Struthio camelus: one gene and its partners. The protein of the gene in region 1 interacts with the protein of each later gene in a pairwise test. Links are inferred from orthologs where the notes say so. Each region holds a gene or a part of one and is shown in the gene's direction. Other genes may lie near its edges. The genes, in order: CHD3, YAE1, PTN and SIRT6.

Evidence for each region.
Region 2: the proteins of CHD3 (region 1) and YAE1 interact in a two-hybrid assay, tested with the Homo sapiens proteins (2 studies listed by BioGRID and IntAct). The link is inferred for Struthio camelus from reciprocal best matches to the Homo sapiens genes CHD3 and YAE1.
Region 3: the proteins of CHD3 (region 1) and PTN interact in a two-hybrid assay, tested with the Homo sapiens proteins (2 studies listed by BioGRID and IntAct). The link is inferred for Struthio camelus from reciprocal best matches to the Homo sapiens genes CHD3 and PTN.
Region 4: the proteins of CHD3 (region 1) and SIRT6 interact in a two-hybrid assay, tested with the Homo sapiens proteins (2 studies listed by BioGRID and IntAct). The link is inferred for Struthio camelus from reciprocal best matches to the Homo sapiens genes CHD3 and SIRT6.

What each region holds. Positions count from the first base shown.
Region 1 is NW_027182697.1:108,008-115,822, reverse strand, and holds the start of CHD3 (chromodomain-helicase-DNA-binding protein 3), read left to right. Parts: upstream 1-4,782; 5' UTR 4,783-4,919; intron 4,920-5,066; exon of another isoform or gene 5,067-5,165; intron 5,166-5,242; exon of another isoform or gene 5,243-5,364; intron 5,365-5,518; 5' UTR 5,519-5,525; coding exon 5,526-5,754; intron 5,755-6,476; exon of another isoform or gene 6,477-7,815. Other genes in the region: CYB5D1 (cytochrome b5 domain-containing protein 1), read left to right, coding at 1-24.
Region 2 is NC_090943.1:58,241,947-58,248,989, forward strand, and holds the start of YAE1 (protein YAE1 homolog), read left to right. Parts: upstream 1-4,040; 5' UTR 4,041-4,226; exon of another isoform or gene 4,227-4,236; intron 4,237-4,321; exon of another isoform or gene 4,322-6,140; 5' UTR 6,141-6,337; coding exon 6,338-6,454; intron 6,455-7,043. UniProt on the Homo sapiens protein: The complex LTO1:YAE1 functions as a target specific adapter that probably recruits apo-ABCE1 to the cytosolic iron-sulfur protein assembly (CIA) complex machinery. May be required for biogenesis of the large ribosomal subunit and initiation of translation.
Region 3 is NC_090942.1:66,013,530-66,021,086, forward strand, and holds the start of PTN (pleiotrophin), read left to right. Parts: upstream 1-4,535; 5' UTR 4,536-4,740; intron 4,741-7,557.
Region 4 is NC_090967.1:4,374,907-4,382,535, reverse strand, and holds the start of SIRT6 (NAD-dependent protein deacylase sirtuin-6), read left to right. Parts: upstream 1-4,609; 5' UTR 4,610-4,682; coding exon 4,683-4,748; intron 4,749-6,040; coding exon 6,041-6,168; intron 6,169-6,544; coding exon 6,545-6,727; intron 6,728-7,629. Other genes in the region: ANKRD24 (ankyrin repeat domain-containing protein 24), read right to left, coding at 1-31, 255-325, 403-460, 776-840, 1,272-1,360, 1,509-1,639, 2,700-2,768. UniProt on the Homo sapiens protein: NAD-dependent protein deacetylase, deacylase and mono-ADP-ribosyltransferase that plays an essential role in DNA damage repair, telomere maintenance, metabolic homeostasis, inflammation, tumorigenesis and aging.

The sequences.
Region 1 (7,815 bases):
CGGAGACGGCCGCCGCGCGGGTGACGCCGGCTGGCGTGACAGTCGGCGGATCGCCGTCGTGGCGGGGTTCGGGAAACGCCGCTGGAGAGCCGGTGGTGGGGCCGGATCCCCCACTCCCGTGCGGAGTTGGGAGGCGCGTGCTGAAAAAAGCCGCCCGGCCCCCAGGCGCGTCCGGGGAGCGCGCGGCCCCCGCCTGCCACTGCGCTGGCCCTCGGGAGCAAAGAGCATCCCCTGGCTCCCGCGGCAGCAGCTGACGTGGAAAAGCTCCTCGCGGCGGGTATTTTTAGCAGCTTCCAGCATGATTTAGCAGCTGGAGGCGAGGAGGGGAGCCAGCGCGGCGCACTCGCCAGCTCCGCATGGGCCCCGGCGTGGGAAAGACCAGGGCTCAGCAGTGCAGATCTGCCAGCAGCGGGGGGCGGGGGGAAGGGAATAATCACAGCGCGTGCTCGTTATCGCCAGGATTATGATAAGAGTTGGGCACAGAGACTTTATTTTCTCATCCTTGTTTTTGGGAGGAGAGAGGGGGGAAGAACAACCTGGCGGGAGGGCAGGTCTGGCACCACCGGAGGGAATTTTTTTTGCGGCGTCCCTTCGATTTGGCTGGACTGGTAGCGTTGGGCGCAGGGGGGAGGCAGCTGCAGAAGAAAGGGGAAACCGGAGCTTTCCTCAGGATTCCCTCCGTGACAAATATCCAGGTGGTTTGATTTGTTTTCGGTGCCCCCAGCCAAGGTGAGGCGGGTGCCACCGCTCTGCTGGAGCTCAAACACGTGCCAAAAAATTGCTGGGGGGCGGGGGGGACTGAATTTCAGTTCAAAGAAAAATCCCTCCTGGAAAACATCCAGCCTTGACCTAAAACCTCTTGTTCTCCGCGTTTCCCTGCAGTTGTGTCCGGCCGGAGCAGCAGCAAGGAGCCAGCCGAGCGCCCCGGGGCCAGCGCAGGTGAGCGGCCGCCTGGCGCGTCGCCCCCGAGCCGGGCGCCGGCCACGTCCCGCTGGCCCCTCCGCGGCCTTTCATCTCCCGGCGGGAGCTGCCAGCCGCTGGCGCGGCCCCGCGTCACGTGGGCAGGGATTTCTCCTCGCCGCTGACCCGAGGCCGCGTTACAGTAACCCAGAGGTGGAGCGAAGCCGGACGCCGCTCGCCCGCGCCGCCGAGTCTTGCCGCCGCGACCGCTCTCGGCATCCCGAGGCCTCCGTGCGTCTCTGCATGTCCTTGTTCCGCTGTCCGTCTGTCTCGCTGCGTCTCCTTCCGTGTGTGTGTCCGTTTTTCTTCCCCCCCCCCCCCCCCTTGGACCCTGCGCAGGCAGCTGGCGCGTGGCTCTAATCAAAGCCTCGTTTGCTCCGCTCCCCCCCCCCCCGAAGAGGAGGTTTGGGCTCTCTTTGGAGGTTGTCGCTTTTATCTGCTACCTTCAGGGCTAAGTCCTCGGCGGGTGCGAATCAGCCCGGCGCTGCCAATTGGCGCCGGATTCCGGCTCCGGCTGTCCAGCGAGAGGAACGGGGTGCGGATTACGCGCTGCCAGGGCTCGGGGCTGCGCGCGCCGCTCCAGCCGGCTCTGCCACGGAGACGCGCCAGGCTCGGTCGCGCCGCCAACGCTCCCCTCTCTAGAAATGAAAATCCCCTGGAAAAGGCTGATCCGCGGCCCCCGCGAGAGCAGGAATCCCCTCCGCGTGGAATTACTCATCTCGGTAAACGCCACGTTCCCGTGCCCCGAGGCCGGGGGAGTTGCTCGTCGCCCGCGACGCTGCCCGGAGGCCTCGGCCGCGATGTCGGCTCCGTCTGGCCGCGTTCGGCTCCGTCTGGCCGCGATGCCGTGGGAAACGAGGGTTTATTAGCTAAATCGATGAGGCAGCTGGGAAAGAAGCGCCGGAGCTGGAGCGTCTCGGCCGCGGGGCAGCCGGGCTGGAAAGCGAGGCGGGAAGGCCCGGTCCCCTCGGAGCTGCCACGTTCCCCGTTCTGGGCTTCGCTCTGCTGGTCCCCTCCAGTCACTGGCCTGTTTTTAGGGGCTGCGCCGCCACCCAAAAGCGTTATTAGCGGAGGAAAACGAAGCCAAACCGAAGCGATGGAGGAAGTAGGCATGGAAGAGGCAGCGGCAGCTTCCGCAGGAGGTTTTCCCACAACGGCGACCGTTTCCCCAAGCCGGTCGGCGCGTAAAAGCCTCTGTGACCCCTCTCGCCGGGTGAAACGCGGTGATAAGCGCTGCGACTTCCCTATTAGCGTCATGCCGCGTGTTGCTCCGGTCGCGCCCCTGGCCGTCGCTGAGCTGCGAAGAAACATCAAAGACGGGTTAGAGACAGAAAAAAGGGGGGGAGAAAAAAAGAAAAGCCTGCCCTGGCCGTGCCCAAGGGAACAGAGACCAAGCCGCAAGCAGCCAGGGTCAAGTTTAAGGCAAGTTTCTCCCGGCGGGGAACGTGCGCTCCGGCCGTCAAAGCCTCGCAAATCGTTAAAAACGCTACCGGGGAACCTGCCCGCGACAAAATTAGCGGCGGCAGGTTGCTCCGCGGCCCGTTAGCTGCCAGGAGGGGAGCGGAGAGAGAAGGTGCCTGGACAGTGGTGTCAAAGGGGGCAGCCGCGAAAGGACCGAACTGGCAAAAAACAAAGAAAAAGAAAAAAAACCCACCTTGTGGAAGTGAGAAATAAACATGAACTGGGTAGGAAAAAAAAAAACAAAAAAAGGTTGGGGGGGGGGCATCAACATATTCTTCTTGTCTCCAAATTCCTCCCAAACCGCTGGCCGCCCGCGCCAGGAGGGAGCCGTTTCGACACGAATTCGTGGTGCCGGTGCTCCCGGGGGGGAGCTTGGGTTAAATATAAAAGGCGCCGCGGGAAGCAGGCGGCTGGCGAGCGGCGCGGCCCCGTGGGCGCCGAGCACGGGCGGTCGGGGAGCGAGATTCGCTCTGCGCAACGATTTCTTTCCTCCCCACCCAAAAATACCTATTTTTTGCCAGGTTTGTAGGGCAAAAAAGCAGCTGAACAAGCCCAAAAATGAATATCGAAGCCGTGCCTGGTGTTAAATTCTTGGTGAGCAGCGGGAGTTTGGCCTGGCTGTGGTGCAGTTTGGGGGGATTTATGGAGTTTTTCCTTTTTTTGGGGGGGACACCAGCCCCGCCTACCGCGCTCTGGCTTCGTGCAAACCACGAGGGGTTTGGGATCCCGTCCGGAAAAGGCTTTTTCTCCCAAAAGCGGAGGGGGTCGGTGTCCGAGGGCCACGGGAACAGGTCTGCGGGCATCGCCGGAGTCCAGAGCAGGCCTGATTGCAAAAGGCCTCGAAATCAGGGTTGGGAAGAAATTAATAATCGTTATTTGCAATTTGTCGGTGGAGGGAGGGGGGGAAAAAAACCCCACAGGTGAGGTGAAAAGCTCCTCTGACCTGAGCGGGGAACGTGTTTGATGAATTATTTGGGGGAAAAAAGAGAGATGGAGAAGAAGGGAAAAATAAAAGCAGGGTCCTGGGCTGCCGTCCAGCGGCCGCCGGCTCGTCGGCTTTGGGCCTCGAGGTGAGTTTGCGTTTCCCCCATCGCACCTTTTTTTAAGTGTAACGTTCAACAGATGAAAGCGTTTCTTAGGAAGCAGCGGGAACGAATCCCGAGGGCCCGGCACGCGGCGGTTCGAAAACCAGGACGATCTGGGGAGAGCGAGGCTGCCTTCTGGGGCCGAAAAGATGCTCCGGGGGCAAAAATGCTGCAAAAATGCCCTGGTGGTGTCATCCCGCCGCCCCCGAAAAGCCCATCGGGGCGCCCCGAAGGGCTCCTCCCCGGGCCCCCTTGCTTCGGGGGGGATTTGGGGGCGTTTGGGGGTCATTGCTCCGTGCGCAGACAAAGCGGGAGACATCGGGGGCCCCGGGGTGAAAAATCCCCTTTTCCCTGCTCACCTCCGAAAGCAGCACGGCGGAGCGGTGAAAACATCGCGTTTTTCACCCCAATTTTTACGGGGGAAGCTACGGGGAGAAAAAGAGAAAGGGGTGAGTGTTTCTCGCCAGCAAAGCGGGGCAATCGCGGCGGTGGGGGGGGCGGGGGGGGTTTCTCTCCCTTTTAATTATTTCTCGGTGTCGGTTTTACCCGGGGAGGCGCGTTGGCTTTGAACGCCGGTGGAGGAAAACACACAGTTAAATCATTCCTAACGATGCACTTAAACGAATTTGGACCATGCGCTTAAATGATTTTTCAAGGCTGTTTCTTTTCTTTCCCTTTTTTTTTTTTTTTTTTTTTTGTTCTTCCTTGCCCTACAGCCTAAAGAAAGAAAGAGTAGGGAGGGAAAATAAAAAAACACACACACACACACACACACCACTCCCTTCTGAAGTATTTAAAAGTAGGGAAGGGAGGGGGAAAAAAAAGCCCCCCCCTTGTTTTTTTTTTTCTCCCTTTTTTTTTTTTTTCCGCCTGTACTAGTAAAGCAAGGAAAGCGGGCGGAAAAAAAAATCTCGTGGTGTTACTAGTATGGAACTAGTTAACCTTTAACAATTTATGCTGATGTCATACTGAGCATGAGTACTGATTAATCCAGCCTTTTCTCTCTCCCCCCCCCCCGCAAAAAATATTTTTATTGAGGGAGGTGGGGGGGGAAGTATAAGGGGAGGGAGGAAAAAAAAAAAAGAAATAATTTAGAGCAGCCATCTTTGTTTTATGCAGAAATCTTTCTCTTTCAGTTCCCCCCAGCGCCAGGAATATACAAATATTGTTCATCTTATGCACTGATCTGAGATCTTCTGAGAGATTAAAAAAAAAAAAAAAGAGAGAGAGAGAGGGGCCAGCAAGCCAAAAATCAGAATTATTTTATATCGCCAGCTATATATATTCCGAGCAGCAGCAGCAACAACAAAAAAAAAAAGGGGGGGGGGAATCTAGGCTGCTTTTTTTTTTCTTGCCTGATTTTTGTTGAGGCTTTTTTTTTAATCTTTTTTTTTTTTTAACCTCAAGGAAGAGGTGTGTGTGTGGGAGTAGGGGGTGACTTAAAAAAAAAAAAATAAGCCAGCCATTTTGGTTTTTTTTCTTTCTTTTTTTTTTTTAATAAAGGGTGGGGGGGATTTGGGGTTTTTTTTTTTTCGGTAACCTCCCGGGGTTGAGGGAAGGGGGGGGGGGGTCGGTTTTAAAAATAATTTAAGGGCGGCCATTTTTGTTCCTTGCTCTTGTGGAAAATATTATTCCGAGCTGCCCCCTCAGAATTTCAATGTATTTTTAACCTCTCTTCTCTCTCTTTCTTCCCCCCCCCCCAACTTTCTCTCTTTTTTTTTTTTTTTTGGCAGGGGAGGAAAGGAAGGGGGGGGAAGTCGGCGGGGGAAGAAAAGTTCGGGGAGTTTTCTCGCTGTTTTGGGGGGGTTCATGGCTGCATTCGCGGGACTTTTTCCTGCCGTTTTCTCCTCAGGCTGAGGTGCTGCGCGGGGGGGGGGGGAGGATTTTTTTTGGTGTGTGGCGGAGGGGGGCCGCCCCCCCTTCTCTTTTCTCTCTCTCTCTCTCCCTCTCTCTCCTCTCTCACTCACTCCCTCTCTCTCTCTCTCCCTCCCTGCCCCCCCCCCCACCCCCAGCACCACCATGGCTTCCCCTCTGAGGGAGGACGAGGAAGAGGAGGAGGAGATGGTGGTGTCTGAGGTGGAGGGGGACGAAGAAGACGAGGAGGAAGAGGAGGAGGAGGAAGACGGAGCCGGGGACAACAGCCCCGGCGACATATTCCTGTCAGCCGTGCAGGCGGCGGTGCCGCTGGCGCCCGCGCCCGCAGCATCAGCTCCCGCCGCGGCCGCTGAGGCGACTGAGGCGCCTCCAGGTAAACAACCTCCCCCCCCCCACCACCCCCAACCCCGGCCCCGCTTCCCGCCGCCGCCGCGCGCGCGCCCCCCCCCCTCCCCGCTAACGGCTTTGAAGGGGGGGGGGGCGCCGTGTTTGTAAACAACCGCCAACGGCTTTCGAACGTTGAGGGGCCGAACGTTCCACCCCCCCCTCCCTCCCCGCGCTGCCGCCGAACGCGCGCGCGCTGCCCAACGGCTCCGGACCGTTGCGGGGCGGCGGGGGGGGGGGGGGCGGTTTCTAGGCCCCCCCCCCCAACCGCCGCCCTCCCGGCCGCCGAACGGGCGCGCGCGCGCGCTGCCCAACGGCTCCGGACTGTTTGGTTGTGTGTGGGGGGGGGGGAAGCGGTTTCTAGGCCCCCCCCCTTCCACACACACACACAGAGGCGCCGCGCTGCTTTGCCCGGTTTAACGCGCCCGCCCGCGCCGAGCTCTTCCCCCCCGCGGCCGGGTGAGTGGATGTGTGTAAAGGGGAGGTGGGGGGGGGGGCATCGGCCTGGCCTTCCTCCCTCCCCCCCCACCGAGCTCTTCCTCTTCCTCCTCAACGGCTCCGTTCCGTTTGTGGAGGGGGAGGGGGCGTTTCTAAGCCTCTCCCCGGTTTAACGCGCCCGCCCGCGTGGAGGGGAGCGAGCGCCGGCCCTCCCCGCCCAACCGTTGTATGGGGGGGGGGGGACACCGTCGCGGCCTTCCTCCCCCCACCTACCGCGTTCTTCTTCCTCCTCCTCCTCAGCGGCTCCGCGTCGTCACGGGGGGGGGGGCGGTTTCGCTGAGGGCCTTCCCCCCCCCCCAACTCTCCGTTAACGGCTGTGGAAGGGGGGGGGCGCCGTCCGGGCGCCGCCTCCCTTCCCCCCCCCCGCCGCCGCCGTTAGTCCCTGGGGTGGGGGAGGGGCGGCTGTGCGAAACGGTGCCCCTCCCCCACCAGGGGGCCGCCTGCCCCATGGACCCCCCCCCACCCCGCCGCCGTGGGGTGGGGGGCGCCTGAGGGGAGGGAGGGCGCTCGGTGCCCCCGTGGAGTGAGTGGGGTGGGGGGGCGCCTGAGGGGCTGTAGGGTGCTCGATAGCCCGTGTTGTGGGGCGATGGGTGCCTGAGGGGCTGTAGGGTGCTCGATAGCCCGTGTTGTGGGGCGATGGGTGCCTGAGGGGCTGTAGGGTGCTCGATACCCCCTGGTGTGGGGCGATGGGTGCCTGAGGGGCTGTAGGGTGCTCGATAGCCCGTGTTGTGGGGCGATGGGTGCCTGAGGGGCTGGAGGGTGCTCGATACCCCCTGGTGTGGGGCGATGGGTGCCTGAGGGGCTGTAGGGTGCTCGATAGCCCGTGTTGTGGGGCGATGGGCGCCTGAGGGGCTGTAGGGTGCTCGATAGCCCGTGTTGTGGGGCGATGGGTGCCTGAGGGGCTGTAGGGTGCTCGATAGCCCGTGTTGTGGGGTGATGTGCGCCTGAGGGGCTGTAGGGTGCTCGATAGCCCGTGTTGTGGGGCGATGGGTGCCTGAGGGGCTGTAGGGTGCTCGATAGCCCGTGTTGTGGGGCGATGGGCGCCTGAGGGGCTGTAGGGTGCTCGATAGCCCGTGTTGTGGGGCGATGGGCGCCTGAGGGGCTGTAGGGTGCTCGATACCCCATGGTGTGGGGTGAGAGGTGCTGGGAGAGTGTCTGAAGGGGTCTAGGGTGCTCGGCGCGCGGTGATGTGGGATGGGGGGGTGCTGGGAGGGCCCTGAGGGGCTCTAGAGTGCTCGATACCCCCTGGTGTGGGGCGGTGGGTGCCGGGCGGGTGCCTGAGGGGAGCCAGGGTTCTCAATGTCCTGTTGTGTGGGGCAGTGGGTGTCAGGAGAGCATCCAATGGGCTCCAGGGTGCTCAGCACCCTGTGCTCCAGGGCGATGGGTGTCGGGGTGGCGCCTGAGGGGCTCTAGGGTGCGCAGCACCCTGTGGCATGCAGTGATGGGTGCTTGACGTGCTCTAGGGTGCTCGGCACCCCATGGCGTGGGGCGATGGGCAGCGGGAGGGCGCTTGATGGGCCCTGGGCTGTTCGGCACCCCATAGTGTAGGGCA
Region 2 (7,043 bases), on another chromosome or scaffold:
TGTTGTGTAATGTTATTGTCTGTTAGTGTCTGAAAAAGGGGGAAGTGATTTCACAAAAGCAGGGAAGTGATTCCTACGTATTCTCTATCTTCATCACAAGAGGGTGATAGGGCTTTATTAGTAAATTGCCTTGATATTCTGAATAAGAGATGTTATAGGAAAACACAGAAATACATTTTTGTTGCTGTGCCCTGGTAATAACCTAGTGGCTTATTTTAACCCTCTTTTTTAATTTAGCATCATTGTAGTCTCTTGTGCTGTGAGCTGCACTATGTAAAACGTCACTAAGTCTATGACCTTGCAGTTAACCTGTTCGCTCACTGTGGTGTCACTTTCCTTCCCTGCGGTGGGTCTGGAACAGAAGGATTTAAGCACTGGAGGTCACTGTATTACCACCTTCAACATCCAGCCAATAGATAACTCTACCACCTTTAGTGTGGGGGGGAAATAAATAATGTAGAGAAGAATCAAGCTCAGGACAGAGGCATAGGCTGCACGAGAGCATGAATAGACCATTTTTTGGCGTTGCAGGCAGTCTTACTGATTTCCTGTTACTCGACGTATTCCAGGCAAACTGCCTAGAATCTGACTAGTCAGTAGAGCCAGATACCTGGAAAAGACTACAGACCTGGCCATAGACAGAACATGTATTTTAGGAGGGACTTATAGTTTAAAACTTCTCGGAATTATCCTGCAATGTTTGATGACAATGTATTTACTGACTTTATTAAACCTCAAGAGTCTTCATTCTCCTCACATTTCAACAGCTTACTCTTTACTCACCATGTTTTAGTCTTGTTTACTATAGAGAACAAGTGAACAGTGATTTGATAGTGTTCCTGAAACTCATCCAAATACCATTTAAGAGCTGTGATTTCTTAAAAGAATTATACAACTGCCAAAATTAAGAGCCAGAGAGACGTGGCTCTGTCTGTGGGTCCATGACGATAAACATTGTTACAACAGAATATAGAAGTGAGTGGAGAAGAATTTACGTACAGTGTAATGCCAGTGCAAATAGTCTTGTATCCTGGGCCTTTCGAAAGCCTTAGCTTGAGTGCACCAGATACAGTCGCACACTGCAATAGAAATTGCCCTGGTGAGATTTTTTTGTCATCCTGAAAGACAGAATAGCCCATACGCAGCACAAGAAGCCCTGGCTACATGAATTAACCACCCTTCAAAAGAGCCTGAAGTCCTGAGGGGTCTTTGTACATTATGAAGAAATCCATTGACTGCTTCTGTCAGTGCATGTTTGAGACACTGATGGCTGAAAGACAAGGGTGCATAGTACTGACATGAACAGGGGCAATGCTGTATCTGAAGTATTCTGCATAGTAATAATCATGTAAAAAAGGAGTCCACACTGCTATGTTCATATATCTTAGTTTTAGAGATCACTTTTGGTCACTGTTCAATGGGAGAATTTACTAATGAGATCAAACTGACAAAAATCCTTGGTAATGATCTCCCATAACATCTTGGTAGTCATAAGTAGTGCACGACTGTGTGCACAGCCTCTCTGGAACCTGTCCCTCCTACAACAACATGTGCAAGGAGCAACTGGTAAGCCAAATGCGTTCATTGCTCAGAGGTACTTTTGGTACTGCAGATATCGTAAATCTAAAATGATTCAGTTTTTATTCTTAGATATGGCACAGATGAACTTTATGATGGGTCATGAATCACCTGTTTCTTTATTTTTCACAAATCTGGGGGGTCAAGTCTTCTCATATATTTATTCCGCAAAAATGCTAAAGCCATTTTGTAGCCTGTGAAATACTCACCTCATGTTCCTTTGGCATGCAGCACCACAAAATGTCACCACAATAGGTAGGCACTGATTTATTTAGAACGCACATAGGTGTGGAAAACATGCACATCCTGAAGCACTACACCTCACCCTCAAGCCTTGCCAGCAGACCTGTCAAGGCCATCAGCATGCAATCAACTTGTCTGCAGCAAGTGTACTTCATAACCCAGCAGTGCTGTTCTGTGTACACACTATGATTCACCAAATTATCCACCCACAACCACTAACCGAAAAGGGTGGGAATACGAGCCTTCTTCACAGTTTCTCATGGTCACAACATAAGGATTTATTTTCAACAGACATCTGTGTGGAATACAACGACAAACCAAGGTAAACATAAGGGGTCCTGAGACAGTTTGAATTGGGGCAGCTCAGTAACCCTGAAGCATGACCTGTGTGTCCTTTCTAGAAGAGCGAGAGGTTGAAGGTAAGGTGATGAGCAAGGGTAGGGCTGGTCCAGCTCCACAGGCAGGAAGCTCCCAGGTTTAGTAGCACCATTTTGTGACTGGTCATGAGGGGTTACCTACAGCAACAGAGTTCCAGTTGTGATAAGGGTTTTCTGAGACTGTGTGTTTGTGCAGTCCAGCTGTATTCAGCACCTTTGTCTGTTAAAAAAAAAATGGCAGAGCTAGCCAAGTTAACCTCTACCAGATAGCAGGCAGAATTGGGCTAGGAAATCAGCAGTCATGGCCATATATAATAACTGCTGAGGAATAGATAAACACAGTTCTGGCTGTCCAGAGGCATCCATGTTGTTTCATCCCCTGACATGCCAGTTCCTCGACAGAGTTGGGTTGCTTGGCCACTTGTACCTCAGCATGCAATAGGCAGTGAGCATCTTAGAAGGGCCATGGGCAGGAGCACATGCTGTCTTGGCCAAACAGAAGGGGCAAGGAGAATGAGTTTGCTGTGGCTGTGTGAGTCACAGCATGGGATCATTCTTCTCTCATTACTTGTGGTGCTAGGACAGGCTCTGCTTTCAGTCATGGCTGTGCACCTAACCCTGCTGTAATGGGAATTTCATGACTCTTCTGTGGGACAGGATCAGGCACTCACTCAGGTCTTAGTGTGGCAGCATGGCCACAACAGTAAATGAGAAATCAGCATCTCCTGCCTATGCCATTGAGTCTCTGAAGAGGCACGCGCCTTGGGGACATGGCTCTTGGGGTTCAGCATCAAAGCATGCAGATGTGGTCTCTGTCACATGAATGCTGGTGGTCTCAGCAGCTCCTTCTGGGACAGTGTGCTCGGTGGGGGGAGCCCCGCACACCGAGGTGTGCACTGGAGGGCCTCCTGCCACCACCTTCCCCAGCTTCCCCGTGGAGCCGCCCTCATCACCAAAGTGAGAAGAGTCCAGAAGTAGTATTTCGAGGGCACCACTGGGAGGGCTGTAATGGGACAGCCCAGCTGTGAGCTCGGCTTGGACCTCAGAAGCAGCTGCAACAAGACACGCCAGGCACGGGACACAGCAGCAGACACCCTCGTGCGCTTTTATTTTACGTTTTCCCTTAATCTCCTCTTTCTGTCATACATATGCTCCCTTTCAGGGACCAGAATAAGCACCAGGACATTTACTTTAATGGGATTTGGCAACTGGAAGAAACATGCAGTTTAAACCCGCAGTTGATGCATAGTTAATGTCTGAAGATTAGTTGGTGCCATTGACCACCTTTAAACGAGGTACGCTCATATGCCAAATATAGACTGTACCAAGAAAAACACTAAATAATTTTGGTATGTCAAAAGGATGTATATTTGCTCTCACAGAGGCAAAGAGTAAAACATTTGCCTGCCACTGGCCCCCTTCTTATTAAAAAGGATACATTTGTGTGAAGCCTAAACGTTGTGGTCGCAGCGGACAGCGTAAGGACACGGCTGACACCCGAGGACCCGGAGGATTCAAAAGGCAGGGGTTTTTTTGTTTTGTTTTGCTTTGGTTTTTTACAATTCCACAATTTATGACTGAAAAGCAAGCTAAACCTTCTCACTGCGGGAAACGCGCTCCCGCTGGGTTTGGTATTAGAGGGCCGGGGGGGGGGGGGCACAGCCTGCCGCCATGGCCCGCTGCGGGGCAGCCGCACTCCCCGGCGCCCCGAAGAGGCGGGAGACGGCGGCTACGGTAACGGCTCTTTCCCTGCCTCCTCCAACGGCTTGGGCACCCTGGGCGGGGCAGCGCTCGCGTCAGCCCCGTCCCGCCTCCTTGAGGAAGCCGTAAAGCTACGCCCTTACTCAAGATGGCCGCCAGCCCCTAGTGCTTCAGACGGGCTTTGAAGCCACCGAGCTGCGGGTTAAGATGGCGGCTATTTACCGGCAGCCCCTGCGCATCTTGCCCTCAGTCAACATGGCTGCCGTTCGCCCGTTGCTTCCAATGGCAGTGAAGCCAGCCTGCCCTTAGCCGGGATGGCTGCGCCCTGTAAGCGCTGGTAGGCCGCCGCTCGGCGGCTGCGGGAAAGTGCCGGGGGAGCGGGGCCGGGGTGGTGCCGGGGGTCCGAGCGAGGAACCAGGGAAAGGGAGGGGAGGCTGCGCTTGTCTTCAGCTGGCAGAGAGGGAAGGCTCCTCGGGACGCTGGGGCTGAGCGGTTGGCCGCGAAATGGCGGGTTGCGGCCTGGCCGGGGGCGGCCCGCCGCGGCGCGGGAGTCTGGGGGCCCCGCGGCCGCGACCGGGACCGGGACCGGGACGGGGACGGGGACGGGGACCGCGGCTCCTCCTTCGAGGCCGCCCTGTTCCCACTGGTCTGCAGCCCAGCCTGTTCGGGGTTGCCCTAGCAAGTGCTCGCCTGGGACATGCTGCGGCAGGGGAATTTGGGCCTTTTTATTACTTTTCTTTTTTTTGAAATGTATTATTTATTTATTTATTAATGTTTCGCACACGAAAGAGTCAGAGAGAGAGAGAGGTGAGGGGATCGGGACAACACGTGAAAGGGACCTCACGGCACAGCCTCGGCTCCAGCGTAGGCCGCTCGCTGGTCACAGCCTGCAGCGCTGCACCACCGCTGACGCCACGTTGCCCTGGGAGAGGCGCTCAGTGCGGTTTTTTGCAAACCATCGGTTGGAAAGGTTTGGGGACTTCTGAGGTGCGTCCCTCACCCATCACAGTGAGGGAGCTTGAGGATTGGAAGGATCCAACCGTTTGTGTCCCAGAAAAAGCAGCGTGGCCAGGCACAGGACTTTAATTATGTCCTTTGGTGCTGTTGACATCCTCTGCATTTCGGCCATGGTCGGTAGCACCGTCTGAGAACGTATCAGGAATAATTTGGGGTATAGATCTCTCCAGTCACTTCGTCTCTAACTTGTTGAACTGTTTCTTCCCTTCCTTCCCTCCTGCACAGACTGACACAACTGCAGTATTTTGTCTGTCCTTCTCTGCTCTTTTCCTCATTTTGGGGACTTTTTTTGACAGTTTTATGGACTCACCCTGGAGCTAACAAAACCAGGTGGTAATGGGGTTAATAGAGATGGCTATGCCATGTTTCTACTCCCTGTCAGAATGTCAGACTGTTTTGAAACATAACCATTTCTAAGCCTGAAATACTGTTGTAAGTTGTAATAATAGGGATGTTTTCACTGTTTTGTAATAGGATGTGGAAAAAGATAAACAGATGAAGCAATTTGCATTAGTGATCTGTGTGAACTTGAGCAAAAGCTGAGATTCTTGGACCAGTCATTTAATTACTGGATCCTTTCCTAAAGATTGAATACAACAGAGCTGGAAATTCTGGAAGCTTTGATTAAGATCAAAAAAAATTGTATATGGCAAATGCAAAAATGAAATTTAAAATCAGTACCCTATACCCATTTTAACAGATTATTGAGAAAGATAGTATTTTATGGGTTATAAGAATTCCCAGCAATTTATTTGATTAACTGCAAATGGCCTCTTAAGGTTTTTTTCAGTGCAGAAGACGAAACAATCCAATTCTGTCTTTTTCCATTTAGAGGAGAACTAGCCAATTCTTTATTCACAGTATACAGGAGTATTTCTGTTCAAGATGAACAAGATTGGGTTAAACATTTGGCATAACCATGAAACTGAAAATCAATGTCCAGTGTCAGTTACTAAGGCTAAAACTCTGCAAGCAATTACATATAACTTAATGTACTGCATGGAAGCTATATGAGGCTATTGTCACCTGCTATCAAAATCAAATTGTAAAGTTGTTTCTGCCTGTTGCTCACGTATTAGCAACATTTAGACATACTAATTTGGTGTGCATATGTTTGTCACTGCCATTGGACCTAAATAAATGAAGAAAATACTGTCTGAAACTGCCCTTGCAAATTGAAACAGTTGTTTTACAATTGGTGATCTGACTGTCTTCTCTTGACAGCTACAGCTGTAAGCAGCATCCAGTGTCTTTGTGGAAACAAACATATAGGTTAAATAATCAGCTCCTGAAGTGACTTCTCTTCAGAACTCACATTTTCTGCCTGTGCTTCTAATGCAGTACTTTGTCAGAAGGACTTTGGAGAGTTTCCCAGTATTTGCTTTAACACGTAAACAAAGGTCACAGTCACTGGTGCTGTAATGTCCTGGGTACAAGTTGCCATCAGCCAATCCAGTGAGGATATATTTGATGAAGATGCAGATGAGATATATCTAGCACAGAAAGAATGGAATAGCACCATGAAGAAAAGATTGAAGGTATTTCTATAACCATGATTTTATAGTCTTTTAACCATTTTTTATTTACTGATACATGCCTTGATTGATATGGTTGATTTAAGGGGAAAACTAAAAATGGCTGCTTAAAAGTTATTGTGGTATAGTTTCTTCTGAACATCAGGAAAATGTAGAGCAGAGAGTTGCAGCAACGCTATCCAAGTAGCCTGTCAGAGCACGTAGTAGTTTAGCAAAAGATCTTGACTCCCTCTATACAAGTATGTGCATGTGTGGAATGCAACGCTAAATCTGGATTCAAGCTTTTTGCTTCACGGTTGTAGGTTTACTGCTAGTAAATGTGGGGCAGTATAATTAAACAGTGCTAATAAAGAAACATGGGCTTTTTTTTCCCCCCACTCTCCTAGTAATATTCATCATTCAGATGTGTGGCTCCTGGTAGAACAAGTGGTTATTGCAATCTCTATAGTTCTTTGGCTTATTTATTTTCCTGCTGGACTTATTTATTTTCCTACTGAAAACGTATTTTATGAAAGCTGGTTTCCACAACCCTTTCCTCTTTGAAATTCTACACAGAACAAAAACAAGTATAAAAAAATCTAGGTGACTTCAG
Region 3 (7,557 bases), on another chromosome or scaffold:
TATTTTCAACTAGAAAACAGTTGCATATTATTCAGCTTAGAGGTAAATGATTAGTAAAGACACAACATGATTTTCACTTTTATATCACTTGCAGGCTATATACTTAGTGCCTCAAATTTGTTATTACTGGCTTGTCACTGAGAATAAAATTGACTGTATCAGGTCAGTGCCCAATTGAAAGCCATTCAATACTACATAAAATACTATTTTGACTGTCTTAATGAAGCATCAAGGACTTGATTAGGTAGGGCTATAAATACTACCTTCTCTACTTTTAAAGATAGATTTTTCACAGAACAGTTAGGAGTGTAGACATAACTAACTTCAAAAACTGGAATTAGCAAATCAAGTTCTTCCTGAGATAATCTGAAAAGGAAATGTGCATTCTATTTATTCAGTAATTTTCTGCCAGAAGTTTTAAGCCAAATCAAAATGTCTTTTTTTTTTTTTGTTTCTGTTTCAGTTGAAAAATGTTTTGTTTCTGTCTTTTGCTTTGATTTTCACCCAGAAATACATAGCGGCAATAAGTCAAAATAGAACAAAAACGGTACCTTTGACTTGGGACATCAAAATAAAATGCCATTTTGCTTTGTTTTTTCCTTTCCCCCAAACTGTAAAACCAGAGTGAAATGAACGTGTTGTTTTAAAAAAAGAAAAAGTGATAGTCTGTTCAAAGTCACAATTTTTATCCATAGCTGGGATTTTTTTTCTTTTTATAACAGATTTCAAATTCTGGATATGTAGGATCTCCATTCTCAGGATTGCCAGCACAAAAGAAGAAAATGGTGAGAGAAGCCAGTTTCAGAATGGCACTCTTTTAAAAGCTGGGGATCTGGAAAGGCCTGCTGTGCTGCATTATATTTGTGGATTCAAACTGCAACATGCAGATATATGCACATGAATAATTTCAAGCACAAGAGCATTAATCCCATTGTAGAAAATAGAATCAGTCAAATGTGTAACGTTGCAATATGTATTCACGGTTTGGTCACTGAAGCATAAGATCAAGTTCTGGGATACTGACTTTTTTGGAAAATATCTTAAGTTTTTAGCACGTGTGCATGTAAAAATAACTCTGCTGGGTTCAGAATTTGTGTTTGCCTTCTTTTGCATACATCTAGAAAAACTGTTTTTTAACATACTGGATTACTTTAATACTAGAGAGTGAGGCATGAATTATTATTTTTGAATTCCATGGATTTTTCCACTCTAATTATAGGACTGACTATTGTCTCTGTGACAATATTCCTGCTATTATGCAGGCCTGAAATGAGAGATGGAGTGAGAAGGAACACAGCTCTGAAGTAGCTGATTTCAGTGTTCAGTGCATTCACTAAATAATTCAGTATCACTAATGGAAATCTGATTTTGGTAGAGTAGGCATGAGGGGCACTCAGTGCTGGAGTTTGGCAGCTCAATAGCCTGGGAACAACAGTGGAGCAAAAGGTGAAAAAAATCTTTACGCTATTCTCGAGTTCTCTTTTTTTGCTTTCCTGGAATCATGTTACATCTTCTTGGAGGCTGCTGTTGCTGAGGGCTAGAGAGGGCGAGAGAAAGAAATTGATATTTACAGTGTATCCGAAACAAAGAAAGCTCAACCCAAGCTGACCTTTTAACTGGTGTGCGAGTGGTTTTTGCTTCTTGAAAAGTATAGCCCCATTCTACTCAGCTGTGGGACCAAGAACAGGGAAACACTTACTGGGAGCAAATTATATAAAGTCTTGCGTTCTGACTTTGTGGTCTGAGATTTTATAGTCAGAATCTTTCAAGGGCACCTTAGGAAAGAAGTACTAAACTCTCGTTAGAAGCTGATGAGATCCCAGTGACTCTCTCCTTCAGGGCACTTATGAAACAACTGCCTCAAAGTACTGAAATACCCCAGGTTCAAAGGGAACTGTTGGTGTTCAACTCAGGAAAACACTCAGTGAGAGGAACTTTGTTGTGGGAGGGTTTCTAGATTTAGGTACAAGATACATCTAATGCTGGGAGCTTCTTTCCCCAAAATTGCCTCAAATACTTACTGATAGAAATATTTGGGACATAATACTTTTCGATTGTTCACAAGACCATTTTTTTGCATGTGGCATCAATCAGAAGTGGTTTTGTAACTTATTATTTGCCTAACCCTCACTCTTCCTTTTAAATGAAATTCTGCCCTATATCTCCTTTTCAATGGGATACTGTTCTGGGTAGCAAAGATGATACATGAAAGCAGAAATTTGACTTCTACAGCTGGCAGTCCATTCTTCATCTTTGTTTTATTGAACAGTATGGAACCAGCAAGGATTTTAAGGATAAGTTTCACCAGCAATCTGAGAGCAAATTTTCTTTTCTTGGATATTTGTGTGTCCAGACCAGAAAAGTAATTGTCAAAGGCTATTTTCCAGTATGGATATTTTCTGTATGTCACAAGAGACTTAAATGAGGCTACCGTTCAAGGTGCCATTAATATGGAAATAATATTAACATAAAAACACACTTTTACTTTTTGTCAGTCCAAGACTGAGATATTTTATTTTTTCATCAGAGTTCCTTCAGACCATAATTTGTCCTCTGAGCAGCTGTGTTAACCTCGAGTGCAGTTCATTTTAGACTTTTTGAATCAAAACCTAAGCCCCCATTACAGAAAACTAGTTTTAGTGCATGTAAACTCAGTCACAGGAAATTCATTTCTGAGCTATGGAAAGGTATCTAGAAGAGGTGTGAGTGGATTAGGTTCAAAACTGTCTATTGACATTGCTTTCAACATTTAATGGAAAAATGGGGCTTCTGACACACGCATCATTGTGAAAAGTGGTTGCTTTCTGCAGAAAGTTTCCATTGTTTGTTGAAAAACTGAAAATGCTAAGTGTTTTAGGTAGGACTCAATTTTCTGTGAGGGAAGGAAGAAATCTCCAGACCCACTTCAAGGCATCTGTTTTGGTCTTAATCAAGAGCCTTTCAGCCTTTCTCCTCTTGCCTACTTTCACTTTGTTACTCGGACATCATTGCCCATCTGAAGTGCACTATTGCAGTGGCACAGAGACCGTTGTCTCTTGTGTCAACCGTTATCAGCTGTTTTATGATGGAAAGTCTTCCTCTCACAGTGCTTAGCACAGTGATGCCAGGAGTTCACTGAGGAGCCCCAAGGAAGGTGCAGAGTAGTTATCAAGGATCCATTTTTATTCTGATCAGCTTTGCATCGCTCAGTTGCAAAGTACTATTTGAGTGCTCATTTCCACGCATCCAGCTGCTAAAAACACTGTTCTCTCCTCCTGAAGCCACTGCTTTGCCTGTCGGGTCAAAGTTGTTTAAAATTACATCACTGTCATTAAATCGGCCAGTGGTGTAAATCCTTAACAGCCGTGCCCGGACTATACATGTAACTGTGTGATGTAAAGAAGATGCCAAGGTGTGGATGGAAGGAAGGGAGTAGCTTACGGAGAAGGAGGCCAGGTGGGTGCAATTGCCTACGCTGGGCCTAGCCATACAGAGCTTTCCATTGTCACAGATGGTAGGTGTTAGATGATGCAATGCGAACAGTGCCAGACAAATTACTTTTTTAACTCATTCCTCTGGAAACAGGAGAAGAATCCGAACTGGATTTCTCAGACCTGGAGCAGGAGCTGCTAGCTTAACGATCTCAGCAAAGACCCTAACCGTCAATGGGCTGAGTCTTTCCGATCGAGACCAGAGACTTGTTCTGGCAATGGGCAATTGCACAGAAATTGCCTGGGCTTTGGAACAAGTCCACTTAGTTTCAAATTAAGCTGTAGACTGGGGAACGCTCTTATTCAGTGGATGTAATGAACCTAAAAGCTGGAAAGGCCTGCTCCCAAATGAAAGCCTTGACACAACTCCAGCAGCCAATACACCCAGAAGTGCCGAAATGCCACCACAAAACTTGTTCTCGTGCTACTTGCAGCCCAAACAGAAATTAAAAGCTGCTTTATTTATTCCCCTGCCCCTAACAGCGTTTCCAGTCCAACACTGCCACAGTCTCAGCAGCGAGCTGGAAGCCAGCGAGGTTAAAGTTAACGCTCCCTTTCCCCTAAACAGTCACCGAAGGGGCCAAAGACTCGCACGGGGTGAAAGCGGTGCCTCGGCGAGCCCCGCGGCGGCCGCCCCGCAGCCCCCTCAACGGCCGGCGGGCAGCCGTTGGGCGCCCCCGCGGCGGGCCGAGCCCAGCCCCCGCTTCCCCGCGGGCGGGAGTTCGGGACGTTACGCCGGTTCGGGAAGTCCGTTAGGACGCCGCAGCGGGGGGGGCCGCGCCACTAACCTAACCTCCCCCCCCCCCCAGCCCCCCAATGCCGGGCTCCGCCGAGGCACGGGGGAGCCCCCTCCCTCTCCCCCCCCCCCACCGCGGGCGGGGGCGAGGCTGCCCCGCGAGTGACCCGCGCCCGCCGCGCGCCCCAATCAGATCGCGGGAGGGGCCGCGCGGGAGCGCGCGCGCGCGCGCGCGCCCGCCGCCGGCTCCGCTCCCTCCGCCCCGGCCGGGGCCGCCCGCTCCCGCACTCGGCGCCGGGGCTCTGCGGAGGCAGCGCGGGCAGCAGGTTCCCTCGGCATATATATATATATATATATATATATGTATATGTATATAAAATAACCATAATAATCCTGCGAGGAAAACAAATCCCGAGCAGGAGAGCGAGAGGGCGCGCCGGCAGAGCGGCAGCAGCAGGCTAGAGGAGAGGGATCGCAGCGCCGGCAAGTGCCCGCCGCTCCCGGCTGACGGGCGAGAGCCTCCCGCCGCTCCAAGTAAGTCACGGGCGCGGCCCCGGCCCCGGTGGCGGGGGAGGCGGCCGGGCACCTGCCGCGGGGCCGCGGAGCGGGCGCTGCCGCCGCCGGTCGATCGCGCGGATATTTAAGAAAGTGAAGTGGGGGGACGGGGCCCGGCGAGGGAGGGAAGGTTTGGGGGGGGGGGGGGCGAAGCCAGCAAATGCCGGTTTATCTGTTTTTAAAACTGCTGCCGTTAGTTTACGCCTGCCGTTCCCTCCGCGGGGATGGGATGGGAGCAAACCGGAGTTAACGCTGGTGGAAACACGGCTTTCCCCTGCTGGGTGTACAGGTTGTTCTGCAAACGAGCCACGGTCTCCCACGCTGCTTCCCGTACCTCCTTACCCCTCCCTCGTCTTCTCTTGCAAGTAGAGTTAACACTGGTGAAAATGCAGTTTTCTCCTACTTAAGAGTACTGATTGTTCTGCAAATGTGCCACAGTCTCCAGCACGGATTTCTCTAACTCCTTACCCTCCCTTGTCCTCTCTTCTGAAAAGCAGAGCTCTTTATAAGAAAAAGGTAGTCTTGTTTCTTTGGGGGCCTCATCTGCTGCTCTTGCTTGTTCCAGCTGGATGTCGTGCACCTCTCCCTTCAACCCCGCAAGTGGCGTGCCGCGGCGGTGGATGGCTACAGTGCTTTAGTTTAGTGGTATGCTCAGAAGCTGGATTCGGGGATGTAACTCTGAGGTTAGCTGGTTCTTAGGAGCATTGTAGGTTGGTTTGCGATGTGCATTACCTCTTCTATGAGGTAGCCCTGCAACTATGCATATCGGTCGGTGTTTTAACTAGATCCTGTTTGCTTTGAATAACTTATGTTACAGTAGAAGAACACTTTTTACCTGTAATTTGTCAAGCCTCAAACTTTCTGTCCTGTTCCTGTTTCCCCTTCAGACCTCGATTGTTCCAAGCTTTTTGCAAAGTTCAACTTTCGGAGCAAGGAATGGATTGCATATATAGTAATAACTGCTTGTATTGAGGAGGAGGAGGGAGGGTAGGAGGAGAAAGAGAAGGGAAGGGTATGGGAAAGTTTTTTTTTATAAAGAAATGCTTCTCATACGTTTTCTGGACAGTGGTTTGAGCTGATCTGCAGAGCAAACTTTAGTTTGTTCTGTGCGACTCTCTTCCCTCCCTGCAAAAAGAGCATGAAAATTTTATACACACACACACACACACACACATATATATATATATATATATATATATATAAGACAATCTGAAATTTTCATCAAGAGAAATGGTCCGAAGGGAAAAAGGAACCTGCCTAGTGGTGAAAGAAGTTTTTAGTTTTTGTAGTGGATGGAATTGGATGGAGAAGGTATTTTGTTAGAGTGGTCAACCGAAAAAAAAGAAATAAGAAAACCACTGCATAAATTACTGATTCCTCCTAAAAAGAGCAAGAAAGTAGAGGTTTAAGTGTACTCTTGACTCTGATCGAAGCTAAACTCTTTGGTGACTTACCACTTAGGGAGCTTTCTGTGAAATTGAAGGATGGATGCTTATCGACTGCAGAGCAAGCTCTTAGATGGAAAGAGAGGGAAATTTGAAGCCAGCAACAGATCTGTCTCTTACAAATGAGTAAGTTTTTGTTGATAGTGAACAAGCGATCTAAGAAAAACAGACTTTTGCCATTATCCAGATGTCTATCACCGGTTATTTGAGATGCAATTTGTGACTGATAAATGCTTGCCAGCAGGAAGTTGGTTTTACTACAGCATTACCAAGCATAGCGCTAGCCCAGTACCATATACTAGTATTCTACTGTTGGTAATATGAAACAAACTGTCCCAGAGAAGGTTCAGTTATGCCATTATGCCAGTGTTGACACTGAGGACACTCTTGAGGCTTATCTTATTCCTGTCACAGCTCTACTAATGGAGGCTTTGTGTAGATTCAGCTTTCTCTTGCTAAACTGAATATTAATACTTAGCTGATTCTACCAGCAACGGCTCTTGCAAGGTACTTCACAGACACGTCTTATGTTTCTTTTGGTCATTCTGGAAACAATTCTTCCTGAGTCCTTGGATAACAATTAAAAATAGTCTTTTACTGGAGCTCTGAAAATGTACTCATTTAAAGCATGCTTCGTTTTATTTCAGTGCATTTTTGCAGCAGGGAAGATATGATTTATAAACTGTTAAAGCATTTACACTAAGTTATTTGGGATGGAATTGGTTCTGTCGATGAAACTTGTTGCTCTGTTCAAGCCCCCTCGTTGCGTACGCTCCCAACAGTGGAGTTTTCTGTGGGAACTATCTTTGAGTAACAATGTAAGCTTTGCTTCAATATTTACAACCTCTTGCTGATCAGTGTATCAAAAGCATTTTCATTTAGAGGATTCATTTCAGGACTTTAATTGAGGAAACCTCTTTGTTTCAAGCCTCTTTATAATAAACCATTCAAAATGCTTTCTTTGAACGAACTAGGTCACTGTAACACGCACACACACAGAGATTCTCATCTGCTTAGGGTAGCCTGCATTCGGTCGACCCATATCCCTGGTGAGCTTGTCCCTGATTTATCCTTCTTGGACTGGCTTGTTCACAGGGAGCTTATGCTGCAAATTCACTGCTGGAGGTCATTCTCCATTCTTGGCATCTCTGGCAGTCTTAAGCTTAAATTGCAGCCTCATTTTCTATCCAATCAATACCACTCTTATGTTGCTGAGTTTCCATGGTGCCCCCAATCTTCTGTCTACATATTGATGTCTGACAGCAGGGATAGCATTCTGTGTCACTATATATACTTACTAAACCTGTCAAAACTATTTAGGATCTGTCTCACTAATTTATATGCATATCCT
Region 4 (7,629 bases), on another chromosome or scaffold:
TGGCAGCAAGGATCAGCGGCGTGAAGCCATCCTGGGCAGGGGCAGTGTGTTTTCACAGCAGCACCCCAGGGACCCCAGGTGCTGCCAGCAGTTAGCTGCTGTGTCCCACCCCAGAAGTGGCCACATTTCAGAGGCAGCCTCAGCCTGGCCCTTGGCTGCTCTACGCAGCAGCATCACCTGGCCCAGTAGAGTTTAATCACTGCCGGAGGACTTGACCTCCATACAACAGCAGGTGCTGAGCAGAGGGATCTCACCTTGTCCTTGATGTTCAATGGAGCCTTGAAATCGCAGAGGATCTCCGAGCACGAGATGCAGCCGCTGACAGCTGGGGAGAAGGACAGAGGCTGAGTATTGACTCCTGCAGGGATGCGAGCAGGATGGGGTGGCACCGTCCCCACTCACCTGCGTGGTGCAGTGCCGTCCGGCCGCTGCCATCAGGCACGTCCACGGGGCAGGAGGCCTGAGGGAGAGGGCCTGGGTTACAGGAGAATGGGGTGGATTGCCTGAGGGGCCAGGACTGTGGGGCACTTTGAGCTCCTTGGTGGTGGAAGAGCATCATCACCAGCCCCAAACCACATGGTGCTGGCCAGAGCCAGGCACCACCATGCCGACCAACGCCACTGCAGAGGGATGGGAGCGTGGCCATCCCAGGGATGCAGGGAGGACGAGGCAGGTTGGGCCTGGCTGTGCCCTTGGAGCAAGGGGCCGAGTCGGGCATGGCACAGGGCATGGCACCCTGCCTCCCTCGCGGCGCCGTGCACCCAGGCCCCATTACCTGCAGCAGCTTGCTGACACATTGCGGGTGGCCATGCTTGGATGCCAAGTGCAGGGCAGTGTAACCTGGGGAGAGGGACACAGACAGGTTACGGTCAGACGGACAGGGCGGTGGCAGACGGATGGGTTGGGGGACAGACAGACAAGCACACAGGCGGTCATCCCCTACCCTCTGCCCCGGGAGCTCTGGGGAACATCATGAGGTGGCTCAGGGCGCCAGGAAAGCCCAGCACCCTGCAGGGCTGGGGCTGAGCAGGGACGAGGCACCCCTGGGAACACCATGGGCCAGGGTTCAGGTGCCTGTTGGCGGCTAGGACCCTCCTTGAGCATTGATTTACAGCCCATGTGGCCATCACCTCTGTCTCCACAGCCTTGGCACCTGCCGGTCGGGTAGGAAGGACTGGGGAGTGTCAGGGGCCCAAGGCGGTCCACAGCATTACCCGGAGAGGAAAAGAGGGGGGACGAGGGAAGCTGGGTGCGGTGGCCATGCCCCTCACCTGAGCTGTCCTTGGTCATGGCATCCACGCCGTGGGCCAGCATGGCTTCGAGGCAGTCCACGTTCCCCCGCATGGCGGCCAGGTGGAACCTGCAGCAAGGCCCAGGGCCATCAGCCCCATGTCCCCAACCCCCGGCAAGCCCCGAGGAGCAGCGCTGGGTGGCTCAGGGGACCAGGAGAGCCCAGCAGCCTGCGCCAGGGCGGACACAGGGACAGGAGGATACAGGTCAGTACTCACGCGGATTTGCCCTCCAAGTCCAACTTGGTGGCGACCAGCCCCTTGCGGACGAGGAGCGACGTCACCCTCCCGGCATCGTTGTAATCCACAGCTTGCAGGAGCTTCTCATCGTTCTTGGTCCAGTCCTGGCTCTGCAATGAAACCGAGACGGGGCCGTGATGGGTGTTTGGACCCTGGAGACAGGCAGGGTGCTGGGCTGGGCTTGTGTCCCTGTCCTCATCCCCATCCCTGCTATCCCATCCCATGCCCTAGGGTGGCCATCTCCGGGCCAACTCCTTTGCCAGGTGCCATCTGGCCCCTCTATAAGGAGGGTTTAGCTGCCTGGCATGGGGGTCCCCAAGTTTTCAGCCCAGGGATTTACAGAGCTGTCCCAGTTTCACTGTGCCCAGATCGGGCCGGGATTCAGGAATGACCTGCTGCTGCCCCATCACCCTGCCCCAGGGCTTGCTGCTGCTGCTCCGCCGACCCCGCTGCTAAACACAGCCAGCAGCCACAGCTGCTTGAGCCCCCACCTTGCCCAGGCTCTCCCCAACCTCCACGCACCTCGCCCCGGCCCCACGGCCACCCCTTTTTGCTGCCCGCCAGGGATGGGGCCGAGCCAGGGCAGGGCAGTGAAAACGGGTCCCCGGGGACACCTCCAGCCCCCGTTGGCGCGTGGGACACGAGGACACCCCCTGCTCCTGCCCAGGATCGGGTCCGGATGGGGGCCGGCGGAGCGACCTGCAGCAGGACGGGACGGGGCTGGGACGAGCCCGGGAAGCCCCGGGTTCACACCGCAGCCTGCGGCCGCAAACCAAAGCTAGGCTGCGGCCGGGGGAGACAGGAAATGGATGTCACCTTTCGGAGCTGCTCGCATCCTGCCCATCGCCAGCCCGGTGCCCAGTGCCTGGCACGGGGCTTGTGCCACAGCCCCCTCCCCAATAACCCCACAACTCCCCTGACCCTGCGGAGCTGGAGGACCGTGTCCCAGGGCGGGGAATAAAGCAGTCTCCTGGGGTTACTGGGCAAACTGGGAGTGCAATCCCCCCCCCCTCCAACCCTTGCCGTGCAAGGACAAAGCAGCTCGGAGAGGACGCAGCCAAGTCCCGGGGATAGAAGGGGCCTGGGGCAGGTGAGGTGGGGGGGTGACACAGCCATCCCCAGAGGACGGGGACCGAAGGGGACCGGGGACGGGGGGGGGCAGGGACGTACCGCAAAGGAGGCAGCGGCACAGAGGCAGATCTGCTTCATGGTGTCGAGGAGGAGGCGGCGGGCGGCCATGCATCCCTCGCCCCCCGCCTGGGCGAGGGCCAGCCGGGCCGGCCGCGGACCCCAGCTGGCTCCAGCACCGCCGCCCGGGCGGGGGGCCGGGTCCTGCCGCAGTGGGAGCTGGGACCCGCCTCCCTCCATCCCTCCGTCCCTCCTTCCTTCCCTCCCTCCTCATCACCGGGAGCTCGAGGCATCCCCGCATCCCTGCGGATGGAGCGAGGACCACAGCAGGACCGAGCGTCCAGGGCTGGTCCCAGTTAGACTGGGAGGGACTGGGGTGGGGGGGGGGAGGTCAGCTCCCCCAGGGCGAGGCAGTGGGGCACCCCCAAATCAAGGACGGGAGCATCCTCCTGGCACCCAGACCCTGCCCTGGAAGGAGGGGCACAGCCCCCCCCCCAAACTGGGGTGGAAACGCAGGTCCCAGCCGAAGCGGGGGCCGCGCTGGGACAGGCTGCGGCCGTGGCCCCAACCGTTGGGGAAGGAAGATGGAAACCCGGCCGGGGAAGGGCAGAGCTGCGGAGAAGGGCCCCCCCCCGGATAGGGGCAGTTTAGGGGGGCAGCAGCGGCCCGTTCAGCCCTCCCCGCTGCCGCAGCGCCCAGAGGAGCCGGGCAGGTGGGGAAACCGAGGCACGGGGCATCCCCGGGCCAGGCAGCTCCCCAGACCCCAGGGAGGGGGCCACGCTTCGGCGTTTAACCCGCACCAAAACGAGCTCGAGCAGGGCCACGTCCCCCCCCCCCCCAGCACCTCCGCGGGCACCGGGGACGGCACCGTCACCCCCGGCAGGGTGGCAGCTGCCCTCCCCGCTCCCCGGCCCGGCGGCGGACCGCCGCGCGGCGCTGAATTATTGATGAGTATCGACGAGTGCCGTCACCGAGGTGGGAACCCGATGGCCAGCTCCGGAAACCTGGCAGCCCTCCCGGGCACCCCAGAGCCGGCAGGCGGGACCCTCTCGCCCGACGGCGTTTCCCCCCTCCGTCGGGGACCCCCTTCCCCCCCCCCCCCCCCCACGGACCGCACTCACGTCCGACTTCTTGAACTTGGCCTTGAGGCTCTTCATGGCGGCTCGACCCTCCGGCCCGCCGTGCCTAGACGAGGGAGACGGCGGCGCCGTGAGGGTCCCCGTCACCCCAGAGGTGGTGGCGGGGGGGGGGGGGGGACACGTGCGTGCGCCTCCTCGACGCCCTGCTCCCCCCCCCAGCAGCCGCCCCCCAAAACCAGGCCCGCGTGGGGTCCCGCCGGCCGCCCCCCCCCACCGTCTCCCACCGGCGCCCGCAGACCCTTCCTCACCCCGCGGCCGCCCCGCCGCTGAGCCACCCCGGCGCTTCGTGGCCGGCCGGCGGGCGCCGGGGGGGACCCAGGCGCCGCGGGGGAGTTGGGTTACGGCGGCTCCGGTTACACCTGCCCGCGCCGAGCGGGGCCCCCCGAGCCCGTTCGGGGCCTCCCTGAGGGCGGCAGCGGGTGCCCCCTTTTGCCACCCGTGGGGTGATGTGGGGCAGCCCCCGAAACGCCCCGGGGAAGGCGGTGGCGGCGTGACCCGAGGCAGAGGGGGCCTGGGGGGGGTGGATGGAGCCCTGCAGGGCTGGGACCCCACATCCCTCCCCAAGGGTTGGGGGCGGTGTGGGGCAGGGCTGGGCCCAGGCCTCGTCCCTGCCTGGCACCCCCCGCCCAGCGCCTGTGTCCGGGCCGGGTTTTGGGGGGGGGGGCAGGAATTAGGCTGGAGCAGAGGAAGGGCAAGGGAAGGGCAGGTGCTTTCCCTGCCAGGCACCAATATGGCGGCGCCGCCCTCGCCTTCCCTCCCCACCGGCCCTGCCTTGCGCATGCGCCCCGCGCCCCGCGGCTTCATTGCGCGCTTCCGCCCTTCCGCGGGCATTGACAACAATGAAAACTTTATTGGTGCGCGGCGGGCGGCGCGGCCGGGCCGGGCCATGGCGGTGAACTACGCGGCCGGGCTCTCGCCGTACTCGGACAAGGGCAAGTGCGGCCTCCCCGAGGTGAGCGAGGCGCCGCGGGGCCTGCCTGGCCCGGCCCCGGCCCACCCCACCCCTTGTCCCCCCCTGTCTCCCGGGTGGGGCCTCCACGCTCCCCCCGGTGCCCCCCAGCGGCGGCCCCGGCCCAGCCGTGTCCGTCCCCCCAGCCCCACGGGCCCCCTCCGTGGCTCCCCCCCCCCCAGCTCCATGGTCTTCCAGCCCTATGGCTCTCCCCCCGCCCTCCAGGCCCAGCCCCACGGACCCCCTTTTGCCCCCCGGCCCAGCCCTGTGGCTCCCCTTTGTACCCCCCCCCCAAGCCCAGCCCCGCGCCCCTCTTTTTGCCCCCCCAGCAGGGATCCCCAAGCCTATGTGTCCCTTAGCAGGGATTGCACCCCCCCTGCCCCATGTTCCCCCTCAACCGGACCCCATTTGTGTTGCCCCCCACCCCCAGCAGAGACTCTCCCAGTGCCATAGTGCTGCCCTTGTGCCTCCCCCGAGCCCAATCCGTGACCCCCCCCCTCCCAGCAGAGACCCCAGTGCCCCCTCAGGGTCCCCCCTTTTTCAGGGCAGGCCCTCGCCCGCTGTGGGGCCTGTCCCAGGCATAGCTGGGGGGGGGGGGATCCCAACCTCGCGGCCCAACAGGGCACAGCAGCGCTCGAGAAGCTTAGAAGAGGTCTAGGGGGACGGGGACGCGCAGGGGCGTCCTGAGCCCGCCTTGGAGCGCGGGGACGGGACGTCCTCCTCAGCCCGTGTCCTCAGGGGACCAGGCTGGAGGAGCAGCCCGCAGAAATGCAACTCTGCGTCCGTAACGGTCGCCCGTGCCAGAAGGCAGGATGGTCCCGCAAACCCATCCAGCTACAGTGGCTCTGCCTCTTCCATCTCCATGGCCACCCTCTTCTTCCGCTGTGGCTCGCTGGCCCCGAGCCCTGTCGAGCCCGCGGCTCTGCTGGGGAACGGTGCCGGGGATCAGTGCACCTGGGCTGGCCCCGGGGTCGCTCCCTTCCTCCTGCTGCTCCACTGTGCCCTTGATCCAAGATGCTTCTGTGGGTATCAGGTACCCGTTGGCAAGAGCATTAAATACCCTCTTCTGCATAAGGCTTTTTTAAGCCCCTATACTACATGGGGACAGTTTGTACAATGCTGTTTCTCTCCAGTTAGATGCTTTTATCGTTAAGCAATGAGAAATCTTATTTCCCACCTGCAGTTTTCATTGTGGATAAGAAAGAACAGTTTACTGGGTGTGTGTGCCTGCTGCGGGGGTGCGTAGCACCCACCACTGGGTCTCTCAGTTCCTGCTGTGGTTTGTTTCTTCTCAGATTTTTGATCCTCCGGAGGAGCTGGAGAGGAAAGTGCGTGAACTGGCAGATTTGATAAGGAGTTCCTCGAACGTGGTGTTTCACACAGGGGCTGGAATCAGTACTGCCTCAGGGATTCCCGACTTCAGGTAAGGATGGTGGGTAAGGGAGCAGGACAGCAAGTGAGGGGTGGAAGGAGTAGCACCTCCTCGTGGGCCATTGCACTTCTCGCAAAGCTCTGGACTGTGCTCCCTGCCGCCCCTTCCTGCCTGCAGCAAGACCTGGTCCTGTAACCAGCCACCACTCAGCAGACACTACCCTTTCCCTCTTGCAAGTCGCTGCTTGACATTAAGCTGTACCTGCAGAAGCCCCATGTGTGTTCTCCTTCATCAAGGTCAGAGATCCCTGGTAACGGGTGACCTTCATTTAGCAGAGTCTTGCTCTTACTCTGTTGATAGTGCTCGTGATGCATTCACAAGCATCTTAGAGTCTGTGATCATCACTTTTCTGTCTGCTCTGCCACAGGGGGCCAAATGGTGTCTGGACTATGGAAGAGAAGGGGCTCTCCCCAAAATTTGACACCACCTTTGAGAATGCCAGGCCCTCCAAGACTCACATGGCACTGCTGGGGCTGCAGAGAGTCGGCATCCTCAAGTTCCTGGTCAGCCAGAACGTGGACGGCCTTCACGTCCGTTCGGGATTCCCACGGTACTGCTTCTCCCGCCTTGCTTCTGGGTCCCCTGTGCCTGCCCCAGCCCCAGCCACTGTTGTGTGGCTGTTCTTGCTGCCCAGTTAGGGTGGTCGCATGTGCAAACTCTTGCCAATGCTCCTAACAAAATGGGCCAGCTAATTTTCTCTTGATGCTGGGGCCTGAATGCTCTGCTTCCAAGAAATGTCCAGCTTGGAAGCTGTCTGCCCACTGATACAAGCGGGGAAACCGGAATGCATTGGTGGGGGAAGGGGATGTAAACCAGCTTGAATTCAGAGAAGAGAGGTTGTGGCAATAATCTGAGGGGTAATGAAATGAAATCAGCCTCAGGTGATGCTTTTCAGTAGTGCACCCAGCCAGGTGCCAAGGGTGCTCACAAGCAGAACAGGCAGACAGTGCTGTTGGGCTGTAGCAGGTTACCTACCGCCTGTCAGCTGAGCTGCAGCAGCAGACTGCGCAGCCAAGCTGTGTTACCCAACTGCCTGGGGATCGTAGCCTGCCCTGCTGCAGAGGGAAACAGCAGCTTCGCATAAGGCATGTGCTCCTGGTGGCAGAGGCCAGGGACAGGGCTCGGGGCTGGGGTCAGGGCACACGGGTCCTTTCCACTGCCTCTGCTCCCTGGCAGCAGCACCCGTCAGCATGGGGGTGAAGGCACGGGAGAGTGGGCAGGAGCATCCGAAACTGCTCCAGTTGTTCGCAGAGACTTATATCACCCTGTTCTACCAGCACTGCTAGAGCTGTCCCAGAGCACTGCATTTCGTACTATTTTAGGATTTGCTTAAACTGAGTTTCTTGAGAGAAAATTATTAAAGGCGGTGCTGCCCCAGTGGTGAAGCCATGCCTGGGTCCAAGATAGCCTTAAAAGGTACTTTGTCTCTAAATAAATTTGCCAGACTTCTCT